4 linked regions of the Diceros bicornis minor genome follow. The protein of the gene in region 2 interacts with the protein of the main gene of each other region in a pairwise test. Links are inferred from orthologs where the notes say so. Each region holds a gene or a part of one and is shown on either strand. Other genes may lie near its edges.

Evidence for each region.
Region 1: the proteins of EMILIN1 (region 2) and PLAC9 interact in binary tests that used the Homo sapiens proteins (3 or more experiments, as listed by UniProt). The two-hybrid records come from large-scale screens. The link is inferred for Diceros bicornis minor from reciprocal best matches to the Homo sapiens genes EMILIN1 and PLAC9.
Region 3: the proteins of EMILIN1 (region 2) and NMI interact in binary tests that used the Homo sapiens proteins (3 or more experiments, as listed by UniProt). The two-hybrid records come from large-scale screens. The link is inferred for Diceros bicornis minor from reciprocal best matches to the Homo sapiens genes EMILIN1 and NMI.
Region 4: the proteins of EMILIN1 (region 2) and BEX5 interact in binary tests that used the Homo sapiens proteins (3 or more experiments, as listed by UniProt). The two-hybrid records come from large-scale screens. The link is inferred for Diceros bicornis minor from reciprocal best matches to the Homo sapiens genes EMILIN1 and BEX5.

The regions. Positions count from the first base shown.
Region 1 is NC_080745.1:27,688,163-27,695,753, reverse strand, and holds the start of PLAC9 (placenta-specific protein 9), read right to left. Parts: upstream 3,016-7,591; 5' UTR 2,791-3,015; coding exon 2,727-2,790; intron 1-2,726.
Region 2 is NC_080751.1:55,738,306-55,745,291, forward strand, and holds the start of EMILIN1 (EMILIN-1), read right to left. Parts: upstream 3,021-6,986; 5' UTR 2,556-3,020; coding exon 2,386-2,555; intron 1,427-2,385; coding exon 1,301-1,426; intron 834-1,300; coding exon 613-833; intron 1-612. UniProt on the Homo sapiens protein: Involved in elastic and collagen fibers formation. It is required for EFEMP2 deposition into the extracellular matrix, and collagen network assembly and cross-linking via protein-lysine 6-oxidase/LOX activity.
Region 3 is NC_080749.1:35,229,369-35,237,066, forward strand, and holds the start of NMI (N-myc-interactor), read right to left. Parts: upstream 3,012-7,698; 5' UTR 2,745-3,011; intron 1-2,744. UniProt on the Homo sapiens protein: Acts as a signaling pathway regulator involved in innate immune system response.
Region 4 is NC_080781.1:94,976,820-94,983,525, forward strand, and holds BEX5 (protein BEX5), read left to right. Parts: upstream 1-4,213; 5' UTR 4,214-4,342; intron 4,343-5,122; 5' UTR 5,123-5,189; intron 5,190-5,632; 5' UTR 5,633-5,659; coding exon 5,660-6,001; 3' UTR 6,002-6,200; downstream 6,201-6,706.

The sequences.
Region 1 (7,591 bases), on a different chromosome or scaffold from region 2:
CATTTGAAGGAAAAGTTCAACTTCAGAAATAATCAGAGAAATGCCAATTAAAGCAATAAAGACCATTCTCAGGGAAAAAAAAAATCTAACTGGAATTAGATCAAGCTGCTAGATCTACCCACCAGTTTATAGGCAATACAAGGTAGAGAGGAACATTTAAATGACAATCAGCTAAAACCTAAATGTGGAAAACTTTACAGGACAAATGACCCCGTTTCTTCAACAAATAAATATTAAGAAAGAAAGGGGAAAAGAAAACTTACATATTAAAAGAAACTTTAACAGACATATCAAACAAAAGCAATGCATGCACCTTATTTGGATCAAACAAATCAAATGTAAAAACGTATGACACAATGGATACTTGAACACTGATTGGATAGTTGATGATACTAAGGAATTATTGTTCATTTTTAGGGTGTGATAACGGTATGACAGTTATGTTTATTAAAAGATTATCTTTTAGAGATACATTAGGAAATATTTATAGATGAAAATATAAATCTTTCATCTATATGCCTGTAATCTCCTTTAAAACAATCTGAGGGAGGGGCGAGAGGGTGGGGACTGTGGAGGAATCGACCCTTGTTGAAACAGGGTGATAGGGACATGGGGCTTCATTATACTACTCTGCTTTCCACCCAAAAGATTTCATAATCAAAAGTTAACAAAAACAACGGTATATTATCTGAAGTCTGAAAGGTTATACACAACAATGTGTGAACTCAATGCGAAATTACATTAATACGTTTATACTTGCCTCTTTTCTTTCTTAATCTGTAGCAATGAGCATGCATAATCAGAAAGAAAATGTTTAAAAACAGTTTTAAATTAAAGCATATACACCAGCTGTGGCCAAGGGGCCACAAAAGGTCAGCCACTTGTGGGTGGCAGCCAGCTCCTCCCTCTGGGGGAGCACAGACGAGGCTTTGTCCCCTCAGCTCCTGGATGTGGGGACTCCAGGAGGAGGGTAAGGGGGAGGGAGAGAAAGGGAAGGACATGCCCTGTGGGCCGGGCTCTATGCTGGGCATCATCCCAGCTACTCCTCACAGCCTGTGAGGAAGCGGTTGTTGGTCCTCCCTAACAGGTGGAGAAACTGAGGCTCAGTGAGATCAGTGGAGCTGTCTGCGGGGACGAGAGAAGGAGCTTGTGTGTGTTGAAACGTGTTCCATGCTGGGCACTTTCCCTCTCATCCAATCCTCCCAGCAAGCTCTGCGGGGTGAGTATCATTCTCCCCAACTTACAGAGGACGAAACAGCCTCAGAGATGAGAAGTGACATCCAAGGTCACTCAGCCAGGAGCTGCCTAGGACCAGCACTGGCCTCAATCCTTTCCCTGAGAGCTCACTCCCACAGTTCACTGTGCCCTGAAAGGGACTGGGCAGGGGTGAGGGGGGTTCCGTCTTAATATAGGGCACTTGGCCTGGGTGACTCCAGGTTGATGGGGGAGCAGCCTGGTTGGGGGCAAGGGCCTGAGGAGAGGGCAGGAGGCCTGGATGCTTGGTGAGAGCTCTGCCTTGGCACCACCGGGAGACCTGAGCCTTCCTCTCACCTGCACAACCAGGATGAGCGCCAGCTGCCTCTGGCTGAGGCCTGCGTGAGATGCTGCGTAAACGGGAACATGGCTTGTAAACTGTCAAGTGCGGTGCAGAGTCTTGGGGGTGTGGAATGAGCATCTGTGTGTAAGTAAGTACATTTGCTGCCACCCTATCTGTGCCTCACTTGTGAAGGGGCAGCACTAAGACTGCTGTCAGCGGAGGGGAGGGAGGGGAGTGCAAGGCAAGGACCCCAGCAAGGGGAGCACCCAGAGGACCTCTTCCTCCTGTACCCTCCTCCCACCTACCCACCCAAAGCAACCCAGGCCCTCAGAGAGCTCTCTGGAAGCCTGGAGACTGGCCTCCTCACCCAGACAGCAGAACTCCCTCAGGCCACCTGGCAGGTGAAGTGATGGCTTTTCTTCTGGGGCCCGCCTGCCTGACCCCGACTGGCTGGCTGTGCTGGGCCAGGCCTGGGTCATCGGACTGTGGAAGTTTAGCTTCCTGGGCAACACCCAGTAAAACCAGGCCTGGGCGCCTCTGCAGGGCCTCTGGATGGAGCTGGCCTGGGGGGCTGCCCCACCCTGCAGACTTGACCTCCCACTCTGGGATCCTTGTTTCCTCCTCTCTCTCCTTGGGCATTGAGTTTCTCCACTCTCTCTTTCTTTTAGTCTCTCTCTCGTCTTTCTCTTTTCCTCAGTATCCTCTCTCTCTCTCTCTCTCCCCTTTCCCTTCTTTCTCTTGCCAGGTTAGCTCATCTATTTCATTCCGTTTGTACCTCTCAAACTCCTTTTTCTGTCTTTCCTCCTTCATAGTTCATAACCATCTGTTCAGCTCCAAAGTCTCTTTCTCTCGGCCTCTACCCTTCTCTCTTTATTCGTCCCTCTCTTCTTTCTCTCTAATTCTCTCTGTCCCTCTGCCTTTATTTCTCTGCCTTTTTCTGTCTCTGTCTTTCTCTTTGCTTTCTCTCACCATCTTTCTTTCTCTCTTTCCCTCCCTCTCTGCACCTCTCTTTCTCCATCTCTCTCTCTCTCTCTCTCTTTCTCCATCTCTCTCTCTCTCCCCCCCGCCCCCATCTAGCTCCGTTTCCATTTTTTTTCCTTCTCCTCCTCCCTCCCTCCATCTCTCTTGCTCATCCTACCTCGCCCTGCGCGGCTCTCCCGCCCTCGCCCCGCGCCCGGGCCCCACTCACCGGCGAAGACTCCCGCGGCGCGGAACAGGGCGAGCCCGGCCAGCGCGCAGAGCAGGGACCGCATGGTGCCGGCCGGGCCGAACGCAGCGCAGCGTCTGCCCGCAGCCGCCCTCCCCGGGATCGCGCCGGGCCCGCCCGGGAGGAAATGCTCTCAGTCCTAGCCAAAATTCCTGGGCGGCTCCCGGCGTTCTGGCTGCAGCGAACCCGCCCCCTCCAGAGGCCCCCTCCGCATCCCGTGGGCAGCGTGGAGCCCAGAGACCCCGCAGGCGGAGGGGCCAGCGTGCCAGCCTGGAAGGGGCCGCCCTCTGAGTCCCCCGCGCCTCCCGGGGGCCGGGGCGCAGAAGGGGAGAGAGAAGGGTGGGGGAGTGGGTTCTACGCGACCGCCCCCGGGGCCCAGGTATTGGTTATGAGCCCATTTCACACGTCGGCGGACTGAAGCTTAGGGAGCATTGCCTCCCTCGGTGTCACCCACAACTAAGGCACAGGATCTGAACCCTTGACTGCTCGCAGCCTGGAAGCTTTTCTCTGTCCACCTATGACAGCGTCTGGCCCTGAGAGGGAGACTCAGAAGTGGTGTCTGCCTTCTACAGAAACTTGCTATTTTGCTAAAGGAGTAATAGTAATGTTAAAAGATACTTTAAAAAAAAAAAAAGGTAAAATCATGACTTTCATACATATATAAAATGAGCATGTGCTGAAGATTTTAACTCACAATTATTGAGGGAATCAGTGAGAGGTGACAGTCAGTCCAAAGAACAGACACAGATCTGGAATATTGACATTAATGTGCAAAAGGAGGTAAAACTGACTTCTTCCACAAAGGGAGGGAGGAGAGTTAATTGAACCTATAACAGGAATAATTTGCATCTCTATAGACGAGAATTATGTTGCATTGCTATCTACAATTTACACACTTGTAAAATGCCTCAAAGGCAATGAAAGGCCCAGAGCCCTAATGGAATCGGGATCAGAATCAGTGTTCAGCAAATACTTAAGCTCTGTACTAGATAGTGTTAGGTAAACTCTGGAGGAGGGAGGAAAGAAAATAATTCTCCTATTCGCATGTATCTGCCCTCGAGGAGTTCACAGTCTATTAACCACCATAATATTAATAAATAGCAGCTAAGCTTTGATAGATTTACTTCTACACACACCACTTGTCTGATTTTCAGTGCAACTGCATGAGGGGCACGTCATTACATCCATTGTGCAGATGAATTGAGGCTCAGAGATGTTAAGAACCTTGCCCACAGTCACACAGCTGGTATAATGTGGAGTCAGGATTTGAATCCAGTTTTGCTGCTTCTGTAGACTAGCCCTTAGATAATAATATATACTGAGTCCCTGAGAACCGGGTTGTATTTTCCATTCTAAGCAAGCTCACAATAAGACCTGGGTGGGTTTTTCAGTGAACTTCAAATCATCCCCACCTCCTTCCAGTTTAGAACACAATAGTGGAATCCTCACCCACGGGACACCCCACCCAACAAGTGCAAAAATAGTTAAGTTTCAGTGAAAACAAAAAGCAAGAGCTGCAGAACCTGATTGTTTCACCTGGCTGTAAGTGGAGCGTCTTCACCACCAAGACCAGGAGAACGTCTCTATCCACCAAGGGTCCCCCTTAGGCTAACTGGAGCCCTTGCAGATCAAGGCTGCCTCTCTGCCTTCTCTGTTCCCGACTGTGCAATTGTCCAATACAGTTACCACACCAACCCGTAATCCTAATCCTCGGTTCTCACTTCGTCCTCCAGATAACTGCCTCAGGCACGGAATTCTGGTTCTGAGTCAGCAGATCTTGGATAGAAACTTGCATCTAAATTTTTAACAAGTACTCATGGGGATTAGGATGCCCAGATGAGCTAGCTCAGAAAAACAATTTATTTCAGGAATGCCAAGCATCCCTATGTTCATCACAGCATTATTCACAATAGCCAAGATGTGGAAGCAACCCAAGTGCCCATCAATGGATGAATGGATAAAGAAGATGTGGTACACACACACACACACACACACACACACACACACACAATGAAATAGTACTCAGCCATAAAAAAGACAATCATGTCATTTGCAACAACATGGGTGGACCTTGAGGGTATTATGCTAAGCAATATAAGTCAGACAGAGAAAGACAAATACTGTATGATTTCATTCGCATGTGGAAGATAAACAAATACATAGAGTATGAGAACAGATTTGTGGTTACCAAAGGGGAAGGAGGTGGGAGGGAGGGAGAAGGGGATAAGGGGGCATATGTATGGTGATGGATAAAAACGAGACTATTGGTGGTGAGCATGATGCAGTCTATACAGAAACTGAAATATAATAATGTACTCCTGAAATTTACACAATGTTATAAGCCAATATGACCTCTACAAAATAATAATAATAGGAAAAAAAAATTTCTCACACTTGGTAGTAGGACATTCCTTGGTAGTTTACTCAGGTGGGAAGTTGTCAAAGGATAGCCAAACCCATAGAGATTCTTGCAGCTCAGAATGAGTGGGCTACCTAATATTTTGAATTTACAATAAAAACAACACATATACAATACTGTCTTGTTGTGGTAAAGTCATAAAATGATAAAGCATATAGTAAAACATGAAACTCCTCCCTATCACTAACTCCCCCTGCCCAGCGATTCTAGTCTAGTCCCCTCAGCTTGGTGGACTCTTCCAGCTCCTTGTCTATGCATGCCCTATCTATCTAATATGTATTCAGACACAAATGTATATACCTGGGATTGAATAATAGATATTTTGGGGATTTGTTTTCACATTAATGTTCATCTCAGTCATAACATCAAATCTTGAAGATCATTCTATGTTAGTAGACCTAAATCCACCTGGTTCCTTTTAACGGTTGCAAAATATCTCATGAATGGATGCACCATTATTTGTCCAGACAATCCCCTATTGATGGACACGTAGTTTGTTTCCCTTCTTGTCCAATATAAAGCATGCTTCAATGAACATGCTTTTGCAAATATGTTTATGTACATATTACATACTCATGTATTTCTGAAAGGCTGGATTCCTAGAAGAGGAATCATTGAGTCAGAGGGCATTTTACATTTTGCTGAGTGAGACAAAAACCCTCACTAAGCACCTAGCAGGGGCCTGGCCCTCAGCGCAATGTTCCAAGACACACCCATCACATTGTAGCCTATGCTGTCCCGCAGGGGGCGCTATTTACATAAAACGCTTCTGGAGCTGAGAGACCTGAAGTTGTAGATCTAGCAGCCATGTACATTCTCTGACACTGGATATTTATCTTTTAAAACTTTGACAATTTGATGAGGAAAAAATGTTACCTTGTTGTTTTTATTTACACGTTATTTATTATGAGTGAAGTTGAGCTTTATTTGGCTATTCAAATACTTTTTCCTATTTTTCCTCTTTTCTTTACATATTCTGATTATAAATCCAATGCCTGTCATATATGTTGGCAAGGTTTCCTTCCATTCTTCCATTGTCTTTAACTTTCTTTGTGGTGTCTTTCATCATACAGAAGTTTTAGATGTTTAGGTAGCCAAATCTCTCAATATTTTCTTTTATGGCTTCTAGATTTTATAACTTGCTTATGATTCCTCACATCAAGGCTATAAAAATATTTTCCAACATTTTCTTCAAATAGTTTTCAGTTTTTTTAAGGGTGTAGTCTCTAATCCATCTAGATTTTTTGGGGGGGATGGAGAGGAAAAATTAAAAACAAAATTTTTTCCCCAGTGGACATCTAAATATCCAAATGCTCCCGATTGCATAGTCCATTCTTTATCCACTAATTTGAACATAAAATAAATTATTGGTTAGCTATTCATTCCCAAGTGGGGTTCCAGAAAAATCTCTAGCCGTCATTTCTGTTATAAGGTCAAAGAAACAAAAATAAAATAGCCTTATTTCAATAAATACTGAGACTATTATTTGATGAAATTCAGCAGCCATCACTGACTTAAAAACGACAAACTCCAAGAGGTAGAAGTAAAGGAAATAAAGGATATTGCCTTAACAATATCATCACTTTTATCTTCAATAGCTCACACGTACATAGGGGAGAAAAGAGAGAGGCATTCTTTATTAAGCCAGGAATGGGGTAAAGATGACATCATCACAACCGTTAATTATCCATGGTCTGATGGATGCAATAAAGCGCAAATGAGGAGAAGACGTATTGTGAAGGAGACAAAATATGGCTATTAGTAGAAGATTCAATTGCTTTCTTAGAAAATCCAGTAGAACTAGAAGAACTGCTTGAATTACTCCATACATTGGCTGGATTTAAGAGAAGTGTTTTGAAATCAATTTATTTCCTCACACTAACAGAAGCCGGCCCAAACAGGTAAAGGAAAACTGGGCCAGATGTTAATAAGAACCCGGTTAGCTAATGTCCTCCTTCCAACATTCTCTAGAAATGACCAATGAAATTAAAAATAGGAGAAACTGGCGTCAGTGCCAGGAACTAGGAAATATGCCAACCATATGCCGGGCCTCAAAGCAAGGCAAAGCCTTGGCAGCCGGCTGGGTATGTATTATTACTGTTATTTGCTAAACTTCTTTGAAACTGGTATTGTGCTAAGGCTATATATGTGTTATTCATTTAACCCTTGTACCAACAAACCTATCTGGTATGTATCCTTATCTCATTTTTCAAATAAGATATATTTGATCAAGGTCAGAGGCTGGCAGATCTCAGGTTGGAAGCCAGACAGATCTGCTTCTGAAATCCATGCTCTTGTATTATCAGACTTCTTGACTCTCTGGCCCCAGGTGTGTAACTAGATAGCAAGGGAATCTGGAGGGAGGTGAAGGTGAGAAGAGGGCAAATGGGGTATTTGGGGGCTCAGAGGGGCAAGTCCTTATGTGGTT
Region 2 (6,986 bases):
GAGGGAGGAAGTGTGGACTCCCCAACAGTGGCTATTCCTGGGTGGCACTTCTCCACACCACCACAGGGACAAACGAGGTTCTGCAACAAGCCTGCAGGGGTGCTAGCTGGATGGTGGGCGAGTCAGCCAGAAGTTCCTGTTTCCATAATGACAGTATGGCTATCTCCCTGGCAGGCAAACACAGCACACCGCAGTGCCCAGCAGGCCCGGGAAGGCAACAGGGACGGCTGCATTCTGGGACCTGCAGTCTCCAGAGGCCACCGAGGGGCCTGGGACCTGTAGTTGGTTGCAGTGCATGCTAGGACTTGTAGTCTCAATTGTCTATCCCCTTGGACCATGCTTCTACAAGGAATTCCCCCTTCCTCCCGCAGCTGTTCCCAACTAGGAAGTATCTTGGCCACATGTGGGCGTGTGTGAGCACATTCTCCTCTGCCTTTTTTCTCTCGGTTTCAATCTCTCTGCGTGAGGACAGGGGATCTCAGGGATCCCATTAACTCCCTTCTGTCCCTTTCTTCTGACTGGGAGCTTGGGGGTTTTCCCTCGGCAGCCTGGCCCCACATTTCTCGCCCATCACAGTCTCCCACTTCTCTCCCCAGCAGCTCCCATACTCACCTTCCCCGCCTAGTCCACTCAGGTGGCTGCCCGCACTGGAGCCAGAGAGGTTGGGGCGGGCGGGCCGGGGCTGGGGGCGTGGTGTGGTAGGTGCAGGACCCAGAGCTGGGGCAGGACCCTCAGCACAGTCATCACCCCTGTACCCCTGACAGCATCTCCACTCCATGTCTGTCACTGTCTTGTAGGCCACGCGGTAGCGAGGACGGAGGAAGCTGCGGTACCTGGGAGAGGCAGAGGGAGGCCTCTTTACTCCTCCCTGTACGTACTGGCCCCTGTCCTCAGAGATGGGCAGCTGCTGGTGGGCAAAGCCTGTCTCTCAGGCTGAGTCCCCCTTACTGTCCAGCATGTGGCCTTGCTCAGTTGACAGCTGTCAGCTTGTTGGCCAAGGGCCAAATCCCTGTTCTTCCTCCCCTTGTCCTGTGTTGGAACCTTGAACTCCCCTCCTTGAGCATGACCCAGCCCAGAGAAGGCATTTGGGGGCTGGCAGGGTGGCCTAGGTAAAGGTGTGCCCTGAGTATCCCACCAGCCAAACTGTTGCCTCAGCGTGTCCTCAAAATGGCTCTGACTGAAGCCCCTGGTCCTGCCCCCTGCTCCCTGCTTTGTAGGAATTCCCTGAGTTGGCTGGCTGCCTTCTGCCCTAGCCCAACCCCCACCAAATACCCACTCATCCCCCAGCACAGAGGCTCACATGATGGTGCGGGCACACTGGGGCTGGCCCCAGCCACACGGCTGGTAGTCAGGCTTGATGAAGGTCTCCACTCCATCCTCAAGGACACAGCTCACTGTCCGGGTCACCACGTAGGCACACCAGTTCCTGCAGGCACAACCCCACCTGGGCCCAAGGGCCAGAGACACACGCCCCAGAGGAGGGCCCAGGGGCTACCAGAGGAGCTGAGGGACAGTCAAAAGATGAAGGGCCCCCGGGGACCAGTGGGAGCCAGGGCTCTGGCAGTGGCAGCTCCCCCCACGCCTTCCTGTGAGGCAGCAGTCGATAAAGACTTTTCAAGATGGGGAGAGGAGGCGCAGAATGGAAAACCACAACTACAAGAAGTTGATCCTCATGGCTGGGGGGGGTCCTGGGAGCCTCTGAATTCACACATTCATCCACGTCCCTTTCTGTCTCAATCCACACTTTGGTGTGGCCTGTGTGAGCTGGCTAGCTGGGTCCCTCAGGTGATACCCTGGATGCTGGCTTCCACCCACCCCTCAGGGGAGAGGATGGGGCAGGCAGGGATCCAGCTCAGGGTTAAATGGAGAATAAGCCATTGATGAGTCCTGCCACCCTTAGGGCTTGCAGTTCTACACTCTTGGCCCCATTCAAGCGGGCCTCTGATCTGGGTCCAGCTGGTGAGCCGAAAGGAGCAGGGCAAGAGTGGTGTCAGAATCATGGATTACTGGATGGGGCTGAGGAAGCCCTAGAAAGGGATAAAAGGTCTGCCCAAGGATCCCAGGCTGGTACGCAGCTGGCAGCTGGCAGGAAGGCCTGGCCCACGCCTCTCAGGATAGTCTTCCCAGGCACCTAACTGCAGGTCCCACAGGGAGGACATGGGAGCTGATCACCCTGAGGTTAGACAGAGGGACCTATCTATTCAGGGGGCCCTGGAAACGCCCTGCAGGAAGGTGGCCGTGTGAGGAGCCACCTGATGGGTGGGCTTCCTCTCCCCTTCTTCCCTGTATTAGGGGAGACAGCCCTGGAGAGGGTAGCCAAGGCAGGGGCCGGATACCCACCTTCTGACTCACCCTCCCACCCACCTCTGGGACCCAGATTCTTACCTGTGGCGGCTGGCAGGCCGGGGAGCACTCTGGGGCTGGGGTCCTCCAGGGCTGAGGGCCCCGCCGCTCCCCGTGTAGAGGCTGTAACCACGAGGAGGGTAGCTAGCTGCCCCCACGGCTGTGGTCAGCAGGCAGCAGAGGTAGCAGATCCAGAAAGTGCTGGGGGCCATGGTGGGGGCGCTCCGCGGTGGCCCTCAGAGGCACATCCCAGCCTGACCACTGGCGTCTCTGCCTGGTGCGGGGGATGCCGCTGCTCCAAGGGACAGCGCCGGTCGGGTCCTGTCCCCAGCTTCCTGCCGGCAGCCCCCAGCCACACGCCTCCTCCTTGGCCGCCTGGCCTGACCCCTCTCCCCCTCCTCTTTCCTCCTCACACTCCCGTCTGTCCCTCCCTCGGTTCCTTCCGCTCTCCTCTTCTCCACTTCTGAGGGGAGTTTGTTCTCTGTGCCCCCGGCCTCCTGTGCCTGGTCCCTGCCCCTCTCAGATGCTGCTTCCTGGGCCTCCGCCCCTTTGCCCAGCTGGCCCTCCTCTGTTCTCCCTATCTGTTTTCCCCAATGATCAGATCCTGGGGGTGACAGGGCTTTGCCCCTGTGGCTGTTGAGAGGCACAAGAGTGGCTGTGGGGCGGGCCCTGGCCTCTCGCCTCCCTCTCTTGCTCACTCCTCTCCCTTCCCCCCTGTCTGGCTGGCGGTCCAGCCTCCCCCTTCCTCCCCCCATCTCTCCAACCATCGTGCGCCACATCTGCTTCTTGTTAACTCCGGGAAAGAGAGAAAAAAAAAGGAAAAACAGAGAAATGTGGAGTTGCCGCCGGGCTTGGGGCCAGCCTCTCAGACGGGCCACATGGAGTGGAGCCGGGGCCAGCACTGGGGGAAAGGCCCAGGGCTGGTCACTTAGACAGGGAACAGGAGCTGGAGCCACAGCTCTCCTGGGGCTACGGCAGGCCTCCCCTGGGAGAGAAGACCTGAGAGAGGAGCCTAGAGGGGAGAGGAGGGGAGGACTATAAAAGGGAGAAGGAGCTTGTAGGCTCAGCGGGACATCACTCACCATCTAGTCCAGCCACCTCCTTTTATAGATGTGAAAATTGAGGCCCAGAGTGGGAAAGTAACTTGTCCAAAGTAACACAGCAAGTCAAGAACAGGGCTGAGATTAGAATCTAAATACCTAGATCAATGACTTGGCAGAAAGAAGAAGAGGAGAGAGGGCTACTGGGCCAGGGAGGAGAAGGAAAAGGACTCCACTGAGGCAGGCAGGAAATTCAGAGAAGCCAGAAGAGGAAGAAAGGAATCTGGAAATGGGAGAGCAGTTTTCTGTCAAGCATGGAGATGACATGGGCAAGAAGAGAGTCTCTTAAAAGGCCAAATAAATATGGGTCCCAGGCTTGCCTTGGTGTAGGTCAAGCCATCAGTGGGGGAGGGGAGGGAGGAAGGTAAACTGGGCCCCATCTATACAGGGCCAAAGGAAGTCACTCCCTAGCCTGCAGGCAAGTCTGATAGCCTCCGTAGCAGGCAAGGAACTCAGTCACATTCAGCCATCGGCCTGACTGGAGATGTCTGAATCCGTCAGCTGGGCCCCCTTCATCACCTGGCCCTCAGCACTGTCTTCTGGACTAGGTCTCCCTGTGTGTGGGGACACTCGGGAGAGCGAAGCGGAAGTACTAGACAGAAAGGAGGCGAAAGGGGCAGGCCCGGTGGCTTAGCGGTTAAGTGCGCGCGCTCCGCTACTGGCAGCCCGGGTTCGGATCTGGGCACACACAGATGCACCGCTTCTCCAGCCATGCTGAGGCCGCGTCCCACAAATAGCAACTAGAAAGATGTGCAACTATGACATACAACTATCTACTGGGGCTTTGGGGAAGAAAAAAAGGCGGAGGACTGGCAATAGATGTTAGCTCAGAGCCGGTCTTCCTCAGCAAAAGGAGGAGGATTAGCACGGATCAGCTCAAGGCTGATCTCCCTCACGAAAAAAAAAAAAAAGAAAGGACGCGAGACTGCTGCGTGCAGGGCACTGTGCAGGCGCCCAGGTAGCAAAGCATATATAAGACTTAGTGAGGAGCAGCTGGGGCTGCTGGGGATGGGATACAAGTTCCGAGACAGAGTGCCAAGAGGGACAGACAAATGGATGCGGCATGTTCTGGGTAAGAGGAGGGGAGAGACAGCTGGCTGCTGAGGGGAGTCAGAGAAGAGCTGCTGGAAGAGAGAGAATCTGAACAGTGTTGGGGGGAAAAGAGTGAAGAACAGAGACAAGGGGCAGGGAGAGATTTCAGGTTGGGGAAGGTGGCCTGCCTCAGTTTCCTCATCTGTGACATGGGAATAATAATAGTACCCTCCTTCCTAGGTTAGTGGGGATTAAGTTAATACATGTAAAGCATTTAAAATAGTGCCTGGCACATGGTAAACACTCAATAAATGTTAGCTCTTATTTGCATCAGGAAGAAGAAGGACAGAAAGTCAGAGAAGTCAATTGTGGAAAAATTAAGGAGTCTCAGATAACTGGTTAAGAGCTTCGATTACGAGTGTTTGGGTAGGGGGTCAATCACATGCAGAAAGAAGACATTGTCAGCAACAGCAATGGGCAGGGGGTCAGGGCACAATGGAGCTGGTTCCAGCTCCTCCTCTCAGTAGTGTTATCACTCTGAGCAAATCCCATGACTCCACTGGGAGTCTGTTGTCTGCCTGGTGTCTAAGGTCCCTTCCAAATTCTACATTGCAAAGTGATGCAGACTTGGAAGAGAAGGCTGTGACTGCTTGGTGATTTCCTGAGTAGAGGGAGCAGATGAAGGGAGACACCAGAGAAGATTCCAGGGTTTGAGCCAGGAAGGATAAGTCAAGAAGAGGAGCAGGTTTGGAGGAAAGAACGATGACCTTAGTTTGGACATACTGAGTTTAAGATGACAGTAACACATCTCAATGGAAATAAATGTCCAAGAGATGGTAGGAATGTGGATCTTGATTCTGGGAACCATTTGCAGGACAGTAATTGGAAGCTGAGAATGGACGCGACCAAATCTTCAATGTGACTCCTCTGAGGTCCTATGGCCCAGAATGTGATCCTGATGGTGGGGAGAAACGTTGGTGAAAAGACAGGATGCTGGAACCAACAGAAATGGAAATTTGTGGCTGCCCCTTAAAGGTGTGGGGATCAGCACACAGGGAGACTTGAAGGATATGGTCCTAGGAGATCCTAATTTCAAAGGAGCTGTCAGTAGAAGGTTGCAGCGTTGTCCCTGGTCTCCACATCAGTTCTAGGCTCTGGCCCTGGCAGGAAGCCACTTCCTCTCCAGGTTGCCCTGGCTGCTGCTGTGGGTTTTCTTTCTCTGCTCTTTCCCCTCTTCTTTCCCTTTAGGGGGCCTCCGGCAACCTGAAAAGTCATCCCAGCCATTTTGTTACTGCCTAGTTGTTACCCATTCCTTCGCCTGCCCTCTTAGGTTTAAAAATCTGTTGTATTTTAAGTGTGTCAAGTCAAAAATGTTGGCTTTGAAATACAATTGGAGTAGGCTGCATTTCATTTAGTCCTGTAATTAGGAGCCAAGACCTAGAGGCTGACATGAATATTTGTGAGATTTCAAATGAGATCTGGGTTCACTGGGGAAGCCTGAGGTGCTGGGCAAGCAGGCTGCAATGGAGACTAGGCTTAGAGAGAATGCAGTGGTGGTATTGGCAGGTAGCCACAAATTTCCAAAGCAATTGGCAAGAGAATTCCTGAGACCCAAAAAGGCTAAGTCCCTGGAGCACTAGTACAAGATCTATTTTATAGCCTCTCCAAAACAGGGGATTTCCAAGGGTCTAGTGCCAGTGGGAAATCTTGGCTGTACTAGGCAACTAACTCATTCACTCAACCATCACCGACTGAGCAATGAGCTCAGGTGCCCGGGGGCACCAGCAGTAAGGCACATTTTATGTCTAACGCCCTCTGTCAGAGGATGGAATATTGGTAGGAAGAAAAGGGAAATTATATGAATTGGGCCTTCAGTCATGCAAACCCAGATGGTAATTCAAGCTTGCAGCGACTCTTGAGCAAAAGTCCACTCCTGCTCAAATGCACACATTTTCCTTTTCCTTCCAACCCCTCCCACAGGGACAGTACTTTAGGAACCAACCTCCTTGGACTCAGGGCCCAGTCCCCTTTTCCCAGGTCAGGTTGCTTTTTCACTCCTGAACCTAATCCTGACCTCATGTCTTCTCCTTGACAATGTCACACTAATCACAGAGATTAGGCTCCACACGTGTCACGTGTCCCTGTCCCCCCCTCATCCTCTCTCTCCCCCAATTCCCCCCAGGATGAGGCTTGCCTGTCTCACTTCCCACATACTTCTCCACCCAAGCTTTGTTCAAGCTTTGTTAATTCTTAACTGAGTCTAGTTTAGTCCTGGAGACCATTTTTAATCTCAGTTCCTCCAGGCACTAGGCCAAATGACCCATTCAAGGCTGATAAAGACTCGCTGACCTAGGCACAGGAAGTTCTGGGACCTAGGCACAGGAAGTTCTGGGAGGTGAAGGACGTTTCAGGATGGTTCCAAAACAAACCCTGTTCCTCTTGTCCCTGACCTTAGGACAACCTGTTGAGTCCACAGTCTGTTGGGGAGTACGGAACAGAGGAAAGAGGACA
Region 3 (7,698 bases), on a different chromosome or scaffold from region 2:
GAAAGTGCTCAAAGAATGATGAGAACATGTCAAAAAGACAGAAAATCCAGCTTGAGGAAGTTCTCACTGGACAAATCTGAGAATAAATTAATCATAAAAATAAATAATGACAGTAATAATTAAATCCACTGAGTAAAATAGAAAACTATGAGTCCATACTGACATACATACAGACATATATAAATTGAAATTTTGGTGGGGAAAGGACCATTTAGTTAGTCTCAGAATCCTTCCTCACAAAATATTTATTAATTTCAAAGGGGAAATGTGTAACTTCACAGTGAAGAAGCCAGGCAGATGCCACCAGAATAAAATAATCAAAGTAAATAATGAGATAAATCATCTGCCATCTGATAGGCTGCACTGAGAACAAAGCATGACTTCTATGATATTCCTGCCAAAGATACATAATCTAAATCTAAGCATGAGGAAACGTTAGACAAACTGGCTTGTTCTCTTCAAAAGTGTCAAGTTCAAAAAAGCCAAGGAAAGACTGAGAAACTGTTCTAGGCAGAAGGAGATGAAAGAGACATCACAACTAAATGCAATGCATGATTCTGAACTGTGTCCTTTTGTTACACAAGATATTATTGGGACAACTGGCAAAATTTGAATTGGATCCAAGGATTAGATGGCAGCAATGTGTCAATATTAATTTCCTGATTTTGATCACTGTATTGTGGTTATACAAAGAATACCTTTTTTGTAGGAAACGTATACTCAAGAATTTGGAAACTTACAGGAAAAAGAAAGGTTGTTTGTATCGTACTTGCAACTTTTCTGTAAGTTTGAGATGGTTTCAAAACATATATATTAGTAGCTCCCTATTACATCAACAACTGCAGAATCCTTATGACGGCCTCCAACATTCATCCAAGGTCTTACACAATCTAACTCCAATTTATTTTCTAGTCTTTCTTAGACAACTCCTAGACTAAGTCTCCTAACCACACTGAACACTCGAAGGGTCCCTCTTCTCCCTTTTGTCCCTCAATATGTCTCATCCTTCCACCCCTCCCAACCTTAATTTCCACCTAATGAAATCCTACTGTTCTTCAAGGTCCATCCCAAATTTCTGCCAAGTTCTTGAAGCCTTTTCTGATTCCCCCAAGGGACATTAGTTCTCCCTCTTTTACCTCTTTTGGGGAGCTTTACTTATTTGTGTACCTGTGTCATTTTCCATGATTAGACGGTCACGACCTTGAGGCCAGGGACCACGTCTACTCCTCCTTGCATCCATTTAGAGCACAATACGAGCTTACACATTGAAAATACTCAATATTTAGAGAATCGTGCAGTATCTTGACTCAGGTAGTTGTTCTGCTCAGGACATCCACGCATATGAAGTTCTCTTATCACATTTCCAGAAAGCAAAAACTGCAACATTATTTAATTGCTTTTTTTAAAGTCAATATTCTTAAGAGCTTGTAATAAAGGCTCTCAATATATTTAACTCTTATAAATGGTCTACTACATGACACCCCCAGAACTTTTTGCAACATATTTAGTATCTCAATACTGTCCTCTCTTTGCATCAGCGGGATGTACAGTAATAGGCTTCCTTTTATGCAATCAGATCGTAGGCAGAATAACAACCCTCCCAAAGATGCCCACATCCTAATCCCCAGAATCTGTGAGTATGTTAGGTTACACTGCAAAAGAGAATTAACGTTGCTAATCAGCTGACTTCAAAATATGGAGATCATCCTGAATTTTCCATGGGCCCAATGTAATCACCAGGGTCCTTAAAAGTGAACGAGGAAGGCAGAAGAGCAGAGTCAGAGTGAGATGTGACAACATAATAATCGTCAGATGGCACGCTGCTGGCTTTGAAGATTGAAAAAGGGTACCACTGAGCCAAGGAAGGTGGGCATCCTGTAGAAGTTGGAAATGGCAGGAAAACAGATTTACTCCAGTAGCCACCAGAAAGGAAGGCAGCCCTGCAGACACCTTATTTTAGCCCAGTGAGACCCAGGTCAGATTTCTAACCTGCAGATTTTTAAGATAATAACTTTGTGGTTTTTAAGCCACTAAATCCGTGATAATTTGTTATGGTAGTGAATGAAAAAACCAATACAAATCACCACCATCTATCCACCACCTGTTTTCCTACTATACTCATATCACTGCGGTGGCAGGCCTGATAGAATCCAATCTTCCCATATCTGGCAGCAAAAAGAAAGGAAACGAGGGGAAGGAAGGCAGGAGGTGGTAATTAATAAAATAGTGATAAACATATATAGTTTTAAAAAAACTTATGCATGTTATACAGACAGGGAAACATGGTGTTCTCCTTTGGATGTCTCTTTCAAGAAAAACCCTGAATATTCTGAAACGTGAGGAAAGACTGCCAAACCCTGCGCCTGCCAAGGAGAGTAAATCTCAAGGCATCAGTTTTCCTAAGAACTATCTCGGGAGACACTAGAAGAACGTTGAGGAAACACAGTGGTTTTAAGTTTCAGTTTCCAGAATGAAGCAAAGCACACCAAGGAGACGGGGTCAGAGGCCTGGCCGGCACCCAGAAGGCACCGTGGGCGCAGGGGCAGGCGCGCCCTCTCGGCAGCTTGTCGCCACAGCGACCCAGGCTGCGGGGGGTGGGGCGCGGGGGCGCGGGGGGCGCAGAGCCGCCTTCTGCGCGCGGTCCCTGGCGCCGCGGAATGCGCCTCGCTCCCGACCCAGGGCCTCGGTAGCCCGGGGCTACCAGGAGCAGGGACGGCAGCCGGGGAACCGGGAGCCCCACTCACCTGCCTCGGCCCGTCGAGCGCCGCAACGCGGGGCCCAGCGCGCCCGCCTTTCCGGGAAACCTCGGGGGTCGGCGCCGGATGTCCCAGGTCCCCGAGGCTGGTGCTGCCTTATCCAGAAGCGCCTCGGGAGATCCGAGGTGCCGTTGCAAGTGGGTGTCACTCGGATTAACAGCTTGTTCCTTAAAAAAAAAAAAAGAAGAAGAAGAAAAGGAAAAGAAAACTGTGCTCAAGTAGTGGTTAGTGAAAAAACTAACCACCGCTCGGAATAGCAAACCTGGTGTCTCCAGTAACTGGTTAAACACTAACAAGTTATAACCATTTTCACTTTCGATTTCTAAAAATTGCTTGTTTTGTTTTTGTTTTGGGGGAATCTATCCCAAAAGTTTTCCTGAAGTGTCCATAAACACTAATTTCAGGACATGTCTTAAAAAACACTCTTGTGTGTGTGTGTATATTACTGGACATACGGTTGGAAAAGTGGACTGAAACAAAATAACGTCAAAGCAGGCGTCTCTCCCCAGATTGTAACTCTCATTGTAATTTATTGTCTTTATAACCTTAATCTACAAATTTTTACAACCAGCACAAGATCAGCTCGTCTGTGTGTCTTTTGCAGCGTCCTCTGGGCCATGAGGTTGGGAAAGCTGTGGTGTTCAGTTGGTTTCTATGACCCACGTCCCTTGAAAATTGTCTTACAATCTTTTGTTTTGTTGTGAAGCTTGTAAATAAATGCTTCACTAGGTGTGATCTTTTCCTTTGAAAATAAAAACGTCTGGCTTATTTCAAGAACTGCAGTGTCTCTTAATTCTACACCAAGAACCACCCCACAGCTGTACTTGCTGGTAAATAGAGGTCAGGAAGGAGATGCATCAAAATGATTTCTAGTGTATAATGCTATATACTCATATGTAATAACCGATATAGCAGTCTAAAATGACAGATTAACAAAAGCCAAATTCCTTTAGATCAAGAATAGTGATAGGAATCAGTTAAAAGTGAATTAAGTGAAAAAAATCAAGTGGTGCGTGATAAGGGCTTTTGTGCTCATCAGCTCAGTTTGAAAGTACAAAAACTTCATCTGTCACAAGTTGAGAATTAATGTCGTTCTACCTTAGAAATTTAGAGAGCATGAAATTGAGAGGTTATTTAGTTCAACCTCATTTCTTCTTTGATCTTGTTTTTGTTTTTTATAAGAAGATACTAAGGAGCAGGACCATGGCCAGAACAGAGCTGATCTGATATTGACTCAGATCCTGTGAAAGGGCAAAGGATACAGGTAGTAGCGAAGCCTTTTTGGCTACCAACATGCTAAAGCCAAGCCATGTGTAACAATACGAATTCAACTCAGCTTCAAATCTAGTATTCTGCAAAGTGCTGGAGTTCTAAAGATGAATAGTCAGTTCCTGGACATATTAGTAACAATTTTAATTGCTAACATCTACTGAGAACTCCTGGGCATTTAATATCCTTTTTATTTTGCCAACAACAGTATGAGGTATAGGTATTCTTCCCATTTTGCAGATGAGGAAACTAAGCATTAAAGAGGTGACCCCAAATCAAGCAATTAATATGTAATGACTTTGATGTCATACTCTACTCTCAACCATAAAATCAGTGTCTCCACACTGTGTTTTATGGTGTTTAAAGATGAAGGAATTCTACGGCCAACTATGATTAGGTTATGCTGCATACTTAATTCACTTTTGGAGAGTCACAATGCACAATAGCACATTAAGAATTTTGAGAAGCAGGGCCGGCCCGTGGCTTAGTGGTTAAGTGCGCGAGCTCCGCTACTGGCGGCCTGGGTTTGGATCCTAGCGTGCTTGTCCAGACGTGCTGAGGCCTCGTCCCCACATACAGCAACTAGAAGGATGTGCAACTATGACATACAACTATCTACCGGGGCTTTGGGGAGAAAAAGGGAAGGAAAAAAAGGAGGAGAGTTGGCAATAGATGTTAGCTCAGAGCTGGTCTTCCTCAGCAAAAAGAGAAGGATTGGCATGGATGTTAGCTCAGGGCTGATCTTCCTCACAAAAAAAAAAGAAAAAAAAAAGAATTTTGAGAAGTATTGCAGGAAAAATTAAAGCACACATGAAAAAGTTTAACTTTATTCAACCTTGAATTTATTGAACTAATTTGACCACTAAATCCTTTTGTTCAAGGAGCAGCTATTAAAATCTTGAAGAGTTTCTAATGGGGTAATTTTACTAATGATGGGGTCCAGGACATGCTACCCTCAAATGTGGCACCTTGGCATATTGAATAGTTTAAGCTGAAGAAGTTTGAGAAAACAGAAGCAAGAAGGTCACTCTGACCTTTCCCTCCCTCCCACCATCCTTCTCTGAAACAGGTCATAAAACCCTCGTGTGAGAGGTGCCCTCTCTATACCTGGAGGAAAGGAGCATCCTTATTTCTGAAGACAAAGGGATGCCGAGACGAATCCTAACAAACAGGCCTTGCTGAGTCTCCCCCAGTTTACTGCACTTACCTCATGCTCCTTGACGCATCATATTCCTCCATGACTGCCCACTCTTCATCAAACCCAGCATAAAAATAGTCAGATTTAACTGTTTCTTCTGGTCTTTGTTTCCTTATGAAGACTCTCGTGTCATATAAAACTTATATTAATCTGTATGCTTTTCTTCTGTAAATCTATCTTTGTCGGTTTAATTTTCAGACCCAGCCAGGAACCCTAAGAGGGTAGAGGAAAACTTTTTCTTTCCGCACACTAAATTATACCATGTCTTAATATTAAAGTTATTATTTATTGAGTGTCTATAATGCACTCAATAAATATTATGTCACATATGAGATGCCTTGGACAGCTCATGTAAATCTATACCGCAATGATATGAGATGTATGTTATGTTACACATTTATCTCTCCACCAAATGGTAATGAACTCCTCCCAGATTCCCTATAAATTCACACACACAGACCAGTGTTACATACAGTGCAGTGTGTGCTATGAAGAGGTAGGATACCAGGCATAGCAAAACACAAAGAAGGGGCCAGCCCCGTGATATAGTGGTTAAGTTCGTGCACTCTGCTTGGGTGGCCCGGGATTTGCAGGTTCAGATCCTGGGCATGGACTTGCATGCTGTTCATCAAGCCATGCTGTAGCAATGTCCCATATACAAAACAGAGGAAGATTGCCACAGATGTTAGCTCAGGGACAATCTTCCTCACCAGAAAAAAAAACAAAAAAAATCATAAAGGAGAAAGTAGTCCCCTCAATCTCAGGAGATCAAGAGACGTTTCTTCCACAGAAGAGGTGAAAATTAAGTGGATTCTTCAAATTAGATGAGGTGGGCTGAGACAAAATTTCAAGTGAAAAATCCCAGAGGCATGAAACAGCTTCGGAGCCACCACAAGTTTGGTGGGTATGCAAACCAGGAGAAAACCATCTGATATCCTTTATATTGTGCTCTTGTTTTTAGAAAAGGTCTTATACACCAAGCTTTTGCTACTGTTGCCAAGATTTTGGTGATCCAGTTTGCATTTCATTCTTGGGGAAGCTGAAACACTTAGAACGTGCCCAGCATTGTGCAAGACCCTGGGGGACACCAGGAAATTATGTAACATCATCTAGTTTTCCAGAGGTTTGCAACTGGAAAATGTAAAAGTAAAGGAATGTTGCTAAGAGAGTAAATCTTAATGTTCTCATAGCAAAAAAGGAAATGGTAATTATGTGACGTGATGGGGGTATTAGCTAATGTTGTGGTGGTAATTATTTTTGCAATATATAAGTGTATCAAACCAACACTATTTTACAATATGTAAATATATTAAATCAACACTATTTTGCAATATATGTGTATTAAATCAACACCATTTTGCAATATATAAATGTATCAAATCAATATGTTGTATACTTTAAACTCACACAACGTTATATGTCAATTATATCTCAACCTCAATTATATCTCAACAAAGCTGGAAAAAAATAAATAAAATAGTAGACAACTGATTAAAAAAAAAAGGAAAGTAAAATAAGTACCCCATCCCTTACTCTGTCAGGCATGCAGTGCTATACAGTTAAGAGCATGGTTTTGATCTCAGATGTGGGTTTCAATACTAATTTCAAGTTACTGAAGTTTCCCTGCCTCAGTTTTCTCATCTGTGAAATGAGGCTGTTGTGAGTGAGATACTACTACATGTCAACTGCTAAGTGCAGTGCCTTAGCCATTGGTAAGTCTCAATAAATGGAAGCTGTTACCCATTGGTGAGAATTTTTTTTTCCTGCACATTTCTTCTGCTTTATCTTCCTACCTGGAGAAGTACTTTTAAGGCAAAGATCATTTTTTATTTCTTTCCTGTCATCTACAGTTACTAGTACAGTGACTATATCTAGTACTTGCTATATACTCATTTCTAAGTAGTGGTTAGATACAAGAGTAAGAGTCAAATACTCTGGGCCCAATGTTATAACCCCTTTGTATAAGCTTTCATATTAGTGAGTATGAATAAGTTTGTATAAGTGAATAAAATATTGTGATAGATCAAATATTTTGAAATATGGGCCGGCCCTGTGGCTTAGCGGTTAAGTGCGCGTGCTCCGCTACTGGCTGCCCAGGGTTCAGATCTGGGGTGCACACCAACGCACCTCTTCTCAAGCCATGCCGAGGCCTCGTCCCCACATACAGCAACTAGAAGGATGTGCAACTATGACATACAACTATCTACTGGGGCTTTGGGGAAAAAAAGGGAGGAGGATTGGCAATAGATGTTAGCTCAGAGCCAGTTTTCCTCAGCAAAAAGAGGAGGATTAGCATGGATGTTAGCTCAGGGCTGATCTTCCTCACAAAAAAAAAAAAAAATTGAAATAGAAGTTAATCCAAGTAAAATAATGATAATAAAATGAAAGAATAAGGAATGTTATCTTTTGGAATCATGCCTGAGCCACTGACTGATCATATAAGTATAATTGATCAGTCAGAAAATTCTGTTTTGT
Region 4 (6,706 bases), on a different chromosome or scaffold from region 2:
TCTTGAATAGGCTCTCTGTTCCTCTTTCCCTCTCTTCTCCCTCAGGAATACCTATAATTCTTATGTTACATTTCCTAATTGAGTCGGATATTTTTGGAGACTTTCTTCATTTCTTTTTAGTCTCAGTTCTCTCTCCTCCTCCATCTGGAGTATATCTGTATTTCCTATCCTCTATAATGCTAATTCTTTCCTCCATATTGTCAGCTCTGTTCTCTAAAGATTCCATGTTCTCCTTTATCTCTTCCATTGTTTTCTTCATTTCCATCAATACTGATTGGTTTTTCTTTATGATTTCAATCTCTTTTGTGAAGAAACTCCTTATCTCATTGAATTATTTACCTGTGTTTTCTTGTATTTCACTGAGCTTTTTTATGATAGCTATTTTGAATTCTCTGTCATTTAGGTTATGGATTTCTGTGCCTTCAGTGTTGATTTCTGGTTCCTTGCCATTTTCCTTCTGGTCTGGTGATTTCATGTACTTTTACATCGTGCTTGCTGTATTCGTTTTGTTTTTCCTCATCCTGGAAATATCTGGTTACAGTTTCCACCTGCTGCCACTATGTGGGGCTCAAGGGCTGTGTAATCTGAGCCTCCTGTGCTCCACCAAGGCTGCTCCGCCATAGCTGCTCCACCGGGGCTGCCTGCACTCTGCTGTGGCTGCTCTGACTGGTCGGCTGAGCTGCACTGTTGGGCATGCAGGGGGGAGTGGCTCTCTCTTTTGCCTGCCAGGTCCCTGGGAGGGGGCTTCTTGCTCGCCCTTTGTTATCTGCTCTCTTGGGGTTCTCAAATGTTGATGGCACCCCTGCAGCATCTGAACCCTCTGTATGTGAGTTTCCCAATGGTTGAGAGAGGCCAAAGAGCTATGGTTTCCCCGCAGAGGGCCTCCTCTCCCTGCTCTCTGGGAGCCATGCAGGCCCGAATCACTGATCTGATGGGGAGGGAGAGGATTTCTCCCTACCTCTCCCCACTTCCTCCAGGGGCCCCAGCACATCCGCTCTCAGATGTGTGACAGTGTGGGTCTTTCTGATGTCCCTTTGTGCTGTGTGAGTGTCCCTTGTTGGTCTATGAATGTCCCTTATGTTGTATCTTATTGGGGGAAGAGTTTACAAGAAAGCTCAGTCCACCATGATGCTGATGTCACTCTGAAATAAATATTTTTAAATGACCATTTAGTCTTCAATTGACTCAATGGTTCAGGAAATAATAATGTGCCCTTCAACATAAAGAGAGAATGATAAAGCAAATGTAGCAAAATATTAACTGGGGAATATAGTGAAGGGCATGTGGGGGCTCTTTGTAGTATCTTCAAAATCATTTTATAACTTTGAAATTATTTCATAGTAATGTTTTTTTAAAAGACCACTTAAATAACAGTGGGGGTCTTTTTTTGTTTCATTTTGGTTTTTTTGCCTATGACACAGATTGCCAACCCTACCTGATATTAAGTATTGTGTAAGGAACTTAAATGCAAGTTCCCATAACTTGCTCCAATCTACTGAACTAGAATCCTCAGAGAAGAGTCTGGGAATCTTAATCTCAGGTGTCTTTTATAATGTGGCAGGTCTAGAAAACATTACTTGATGATCTTGACAACAAATTTTTAAAAATAAATTAAAAAGGACAAAATGAAACAAAAAATAAAATAAAACAAAATTTAAAAAAATACAATAAACCAGGTAATACTCAGTGTTGGTGGACACATGAGAAAACAGGAATGCTCATACATTATAGATGCCGAATTGGGACAACATTTTTCAAGGCCAATTTCTATGGCAATTAAAAGCATCCATAGTCATATACAGCTAGGACATTTCTAGGAATTTAATACCCTCCTGTTAGTATAAAAAAAATCTATGTACAAAGAAGTTCAATCAACATGGTCCCTCATAGTGAAAACTACAAACACCCCAAATGCTCATAAATACCGGAATGGATGTGTGTGCATTCTTTATTTTGAAGGGAAATATTTGGACTGATTTAGAATAAAATGTGAATAGTATATTTATTGAGGCAGAGATAATGCTGATATTGTCCTTCTACCTTATCTGTATTTTCTAATTTTACTGAGGGCCGTTTATGGCACCTTGTGAGCTTGCTCAGTCCAGTCCAGGCTTAAGACAACCTGGAAGCGTCAGAGATTTTAACATTCCCAGGGTAACATCCACCAATAAAGAACCCATGTCTGTGGATAAATACTCCAATTTCCTGTCGTTGAATTGGGATAATTCTGAGGAGCATTCTACATGGCTCCTTAGACTTAGAGGGTCCCCAACAGGATTGGGCCAGTTGTCTTTTGGCCATGTCTATCACTGGTGCTACTTTTGTGTGTGTGTGTGTGAGGAAGACTGGCTTTGAGCTAACATCTGTTGCTAATCCTCCTTTTTTTGCTGAGGAAGATTAGCCCTGAGCTAACATCTGTGCCCATCTTCCTCTATTTTATTTGGGACACCTGCCACAGCATGGCTTGACAAGCAGTGCATCAGTCCCCGCCCAGGATCTGAACCTGCGAACCCCGGGCCATGGAAGCAGAGGGCGCCAACTTAACCACTATGCCACCGGGCCGGCCACTCTGGTGCTACATGTTTAACGAACAAACTTTTTCATCCTAAGATTGTATACAAAATAACATTCGTTATATACTATTTTCAATGGTTTTATGTCTTTTTATCTAAATATTGAGTTAGTAAGTTTAAAACCGGAATAAGGCACTTCATTTTTTTCCAAATAGCTAATCAATTACCTCAGCACCATTTCTTCAATAATCATTTCTTCAATAGTCTAAACTCTCTCCACTGATTCAAAATATTTCAATTAGATTACTAATATTTCCCCATATTTGTGTTTGACAATTGACTTTCTCTTCTGTTTCATTTATTCTATATTTATTCTGGTATAATGTTGTTTTAATATTGTAGCTTCACAATACTTTTTATCTGTAAGCATAACTTTCCAAAATTATTGTTCTGAATTGTTGGAAGACCTCAGTGTTGCTCTATTTTAGAGGCCATGCTGGAGTCTTATTGTAAAGTGAAGTTGCACTAACATAATTTAGAGGAGACCATAAGTTTGTTACAAGCTCTCAAGATTTAAAACTCCACCAGCAAAACTCTGTTAGACTCACTATCTCACCTCATGGAAAAACCACAAAGAGACCCTTTCACAAGGGGAACCACCAGCTTAGGTTTATATTTCAAAGTCCTTAAAAGGGAGAGGAGGTGTTATCTGGAGGGTCTATATTTGTAGGATGATTCAGCAGCAGAAACAGGTTGCCAAGTTTTTACAGCTCGAATCCTGTTTTTCAACTGGAAATAATTGTATTATTTAGTCATAGCAAGCAAAAAAATGAATGCATGCTGATGGGAAACAAAAAAACAATTACATACACCCTCTTAAACATAAAGGGAAATAATTAAGGTGAAAGTTAGGAAAAAAAAGGTCACTTCCTACTTATTTTCCAGATTTCTTAACCTCGCCCCCTTCTCCCGCCCCGGTTGCACTCTGGGACAAGACCTACAAGACTGTTATGGGAAATTCTGGGCTTTACTTGCTGGGGAGTGGAGTGGGGAGAAGTGGGCATTTAATGATATAAAACAGGAAGAAGCAAGTCTTTAAAAGCTCCAGCAGAAATCAGGGAAAAGGCATATACAACCTACAAAATATTATGACCCGTTTGGTCTCGAAGATTGCTAAATAGCAAAAAAAAAAAAAGGGATGTGGACAGTAGCCTGTTGTAGTGGTGGGGCGAGGGCGGGAATGAGGAGAAAGGTGGTCCCGCCCACGCTCCCACCTCCCACTCTTCTGCCGCACTGCAGGTATGAACCGGAATTGGGGATCTGAGCTCGCAGTGACATGGCCCTTACGAGATCTAGAGCCAACCTATGGATTAGTCTCTCCTTCTAGTTGTGATCCAGTGGTTGTTTGTGGCTGTGCGCCGGCTCGCTATTGCCTTGAAGGCGGGCGAGCCTGTAGCCCAGGGAAGGAAGAAGTCGTAGAAGATGACCCAGATCCATGGCAGGTTAGCGGGCTCTGACTGGGGTGCGGGTGGCAGAGGGCAAAGACCAGAGTGGGTTCAGGATTGGATTCTCTCTAGCACTTCCCCGATGCCCACCCGTTTGGTGCAAGAAATGAAGGGCTTGATGGGAGGAGACCGAGAGGGGCCAAGGGTTGAGAATGAGTACCAGTTGGGATCCCCTAGGAGGTGGACGATCAGGCGACATCTGGAAGGGAAGGACCAGAGAAGAGGACGCCGAGGAAACAGCCTGATTCCTGCAGGGCGGCAGGAGGGGGGCGAAACCGGTAACCCTGGGTTGGAGATAATGGACACCGCACGCCTCCATTCCCGGTATCTTTTCTCCACCCTCGTGCATTTTGGAGCCGGAAATGGTGGGCTGTGGGAACCCGGGTGAGGGGCGGTTGCTGCAGAGGATGGGGCAGGGATTAGGTCTGGGAAGCAGGTCCCTTCTGCGGAGGGGGCAGTCGACCGGGCGGACTTCTGACTGAGGGATGAGGGATATAGGTGGGCAGGGAGAAACTGTTTCTGGTCCCTGCAGGCCGGTATAAGGGTGGGTGCTGCTTGCAGACCCTGGGGTAAGCATGACAAAGCGCTGAGACCGCAGCAGGACCAAGTTTGCAATGCCCACACTACCTCTTCGCCCTTCGTCCATCTTGATGCATAAAATGGTGGGCAACGGAAGGAGGGTGGGCTCGAGAAAGGCCACTGGGTCCCAAAAGGTCCTGGTGGAAACCCAGATTGAAATTCTTCATAAATAAACCACATCGCCACCCAGCAAGCTCTTCTGACTTCCCCGCCCCGCAAACTGTCCATTTGCGTTCAAGAAATGGTAATTAGGCAACAGAAGGGACGGGTCAGTGAGGATAAGGGGCCTAAAGAAGAGGTGAAACTGATTTGGAAAAAATCGTCTTTGATTACAATGCCTCTTTCTGGAAGGCGGGGTAGCGCATCACAGGGCTGGAAAAGAAGCCCTGAGACAGGCTAGAGGAGAAAGAGAAGGTGGCAACATTTGACTAGCAGAATCCTAAATCAGCAACGGAGTTGGTGCCCTGGGTACTGGTCCTTTAATCGAGTGATCAGTCTTGGGTATTGTCGCATTTCTGTCTGCAGGTCTTTAGGTCCGTTGGTGCAGCAGATTTCAAGGCTAAGAGAGGAAGATTGCTTCTGATCCCTGCAGGTAGGGGGCTACCGGGGGCTCTCTGGTGTAGGGACATCAGGGATCAGGACAGAATCTGGGGGAGTCACAGCCTTCCCTGCCTGAGTTAAGTACAGCACAAAGCTGGCGAAGTCCTTAGAAACTGTGCGCCTATGGCTGGTGGAGGAAGAAGGGAGTAGAGGGGCAAGCTCTGGGGCGCCCCTGGAGGGCTTATCAGGATCCCTGGAAGCTGAGGCCTGGGTCTCTCAACCACCGCCCGCCCACTACCCATCCTATGTTTTGATGAGAGGAGTGGCCTAGGGAAAGTACTTTCAGGGAAAATGGTGGGCTTTGGGGCAGGGCTGGGTCTGGGGCGCCCCCTGGAGGGCGCACGAAGTCTCTCAGATGGGAAAACCTTTGCCAACAGAACTCTGAATCCTGTTGTTACAGAACATTCAATCCCTCTTCTTGCTTTTTATCTCTAGGAAGAAGAAGCAGGAAAAAATCTCAACATGGAAAATGTCCCCCAGGAAAGCAAAGGAGGGGGGCAGGCCCCAGTGCAGAATGAAGAAGAAGCCCGCCCTTTGGGAGGTGGTCAAGGCCAGGAGCCTGGAGGAAATATTAGAGGGAGTTGGGCTCCACCTGCCCAGGATTTTAGAGAGGATATTCCCAACAGGCTTGTCAATAACATTGACATGATAGATGGAGATGCAGATGATATGGAAAGGTTCATGGAGGAGATGAGAGAGCTAAGGAGGAAAATTACGGAGCTTCAACTGAGGTACAGTCTGCGCATTCTTATAGGAGATCCCCCTCACCATGACCATCATGATGAGTTTTGCCTTATGCCTTGAATGCTGAGGTTAATAGTTATAAACCCTCTGCTTCCCAAACTTGCATTTTCTTGGTGTACTCTTTATCGTGAACCTTTGGTGTTGTGTCACTTTTCTGATTGGAGATTTCATTTTGACTTAGTCTGTAGGTTTTTCTGTCAGCAGGGGAGTTTCATGAACTTGCATGGAAAGATGTTTATTATATATTGTAAAGTTAATAAAGCAGTTTAAAAATTAGTCTATAGATATACTATCTCATTTAAAAGTGTGCATATTATATATATCTGAATGTAGTGTGCATATTATATATATACATCAGAATGTGTTTTTTTGTTTTCTTTATTTTTTCTTGATTATCTGTTTTTTCTCATTTTTCCAAAATGAGTACACACATATTATATGTGTCAAAAGAAAAGTAAGAAGCAAACAACTTGCCAGTCGGTTTATAAAGGGAATGGAGAAAATTAATAAATACTTGAGACACAATTTATACTTGAGACACAATTTAAAGACATATAAATTATATTACCTCTGGATCTCTTATTTAGAAGCACAAACCTGGTAATTATTACAGATACATTTCTTTAAAGTCAGCCGATTCATCTTAAAAAATGAAGATAGGGGCCGGCCCTGTAGCTTAGCAGTTAAGTGTGCGCACTCCACTACTGGCGGCCCAGGGTTCGGATTCCCGGCGCGTACCGACCCACCGCTTCTCTGGCCATGCTG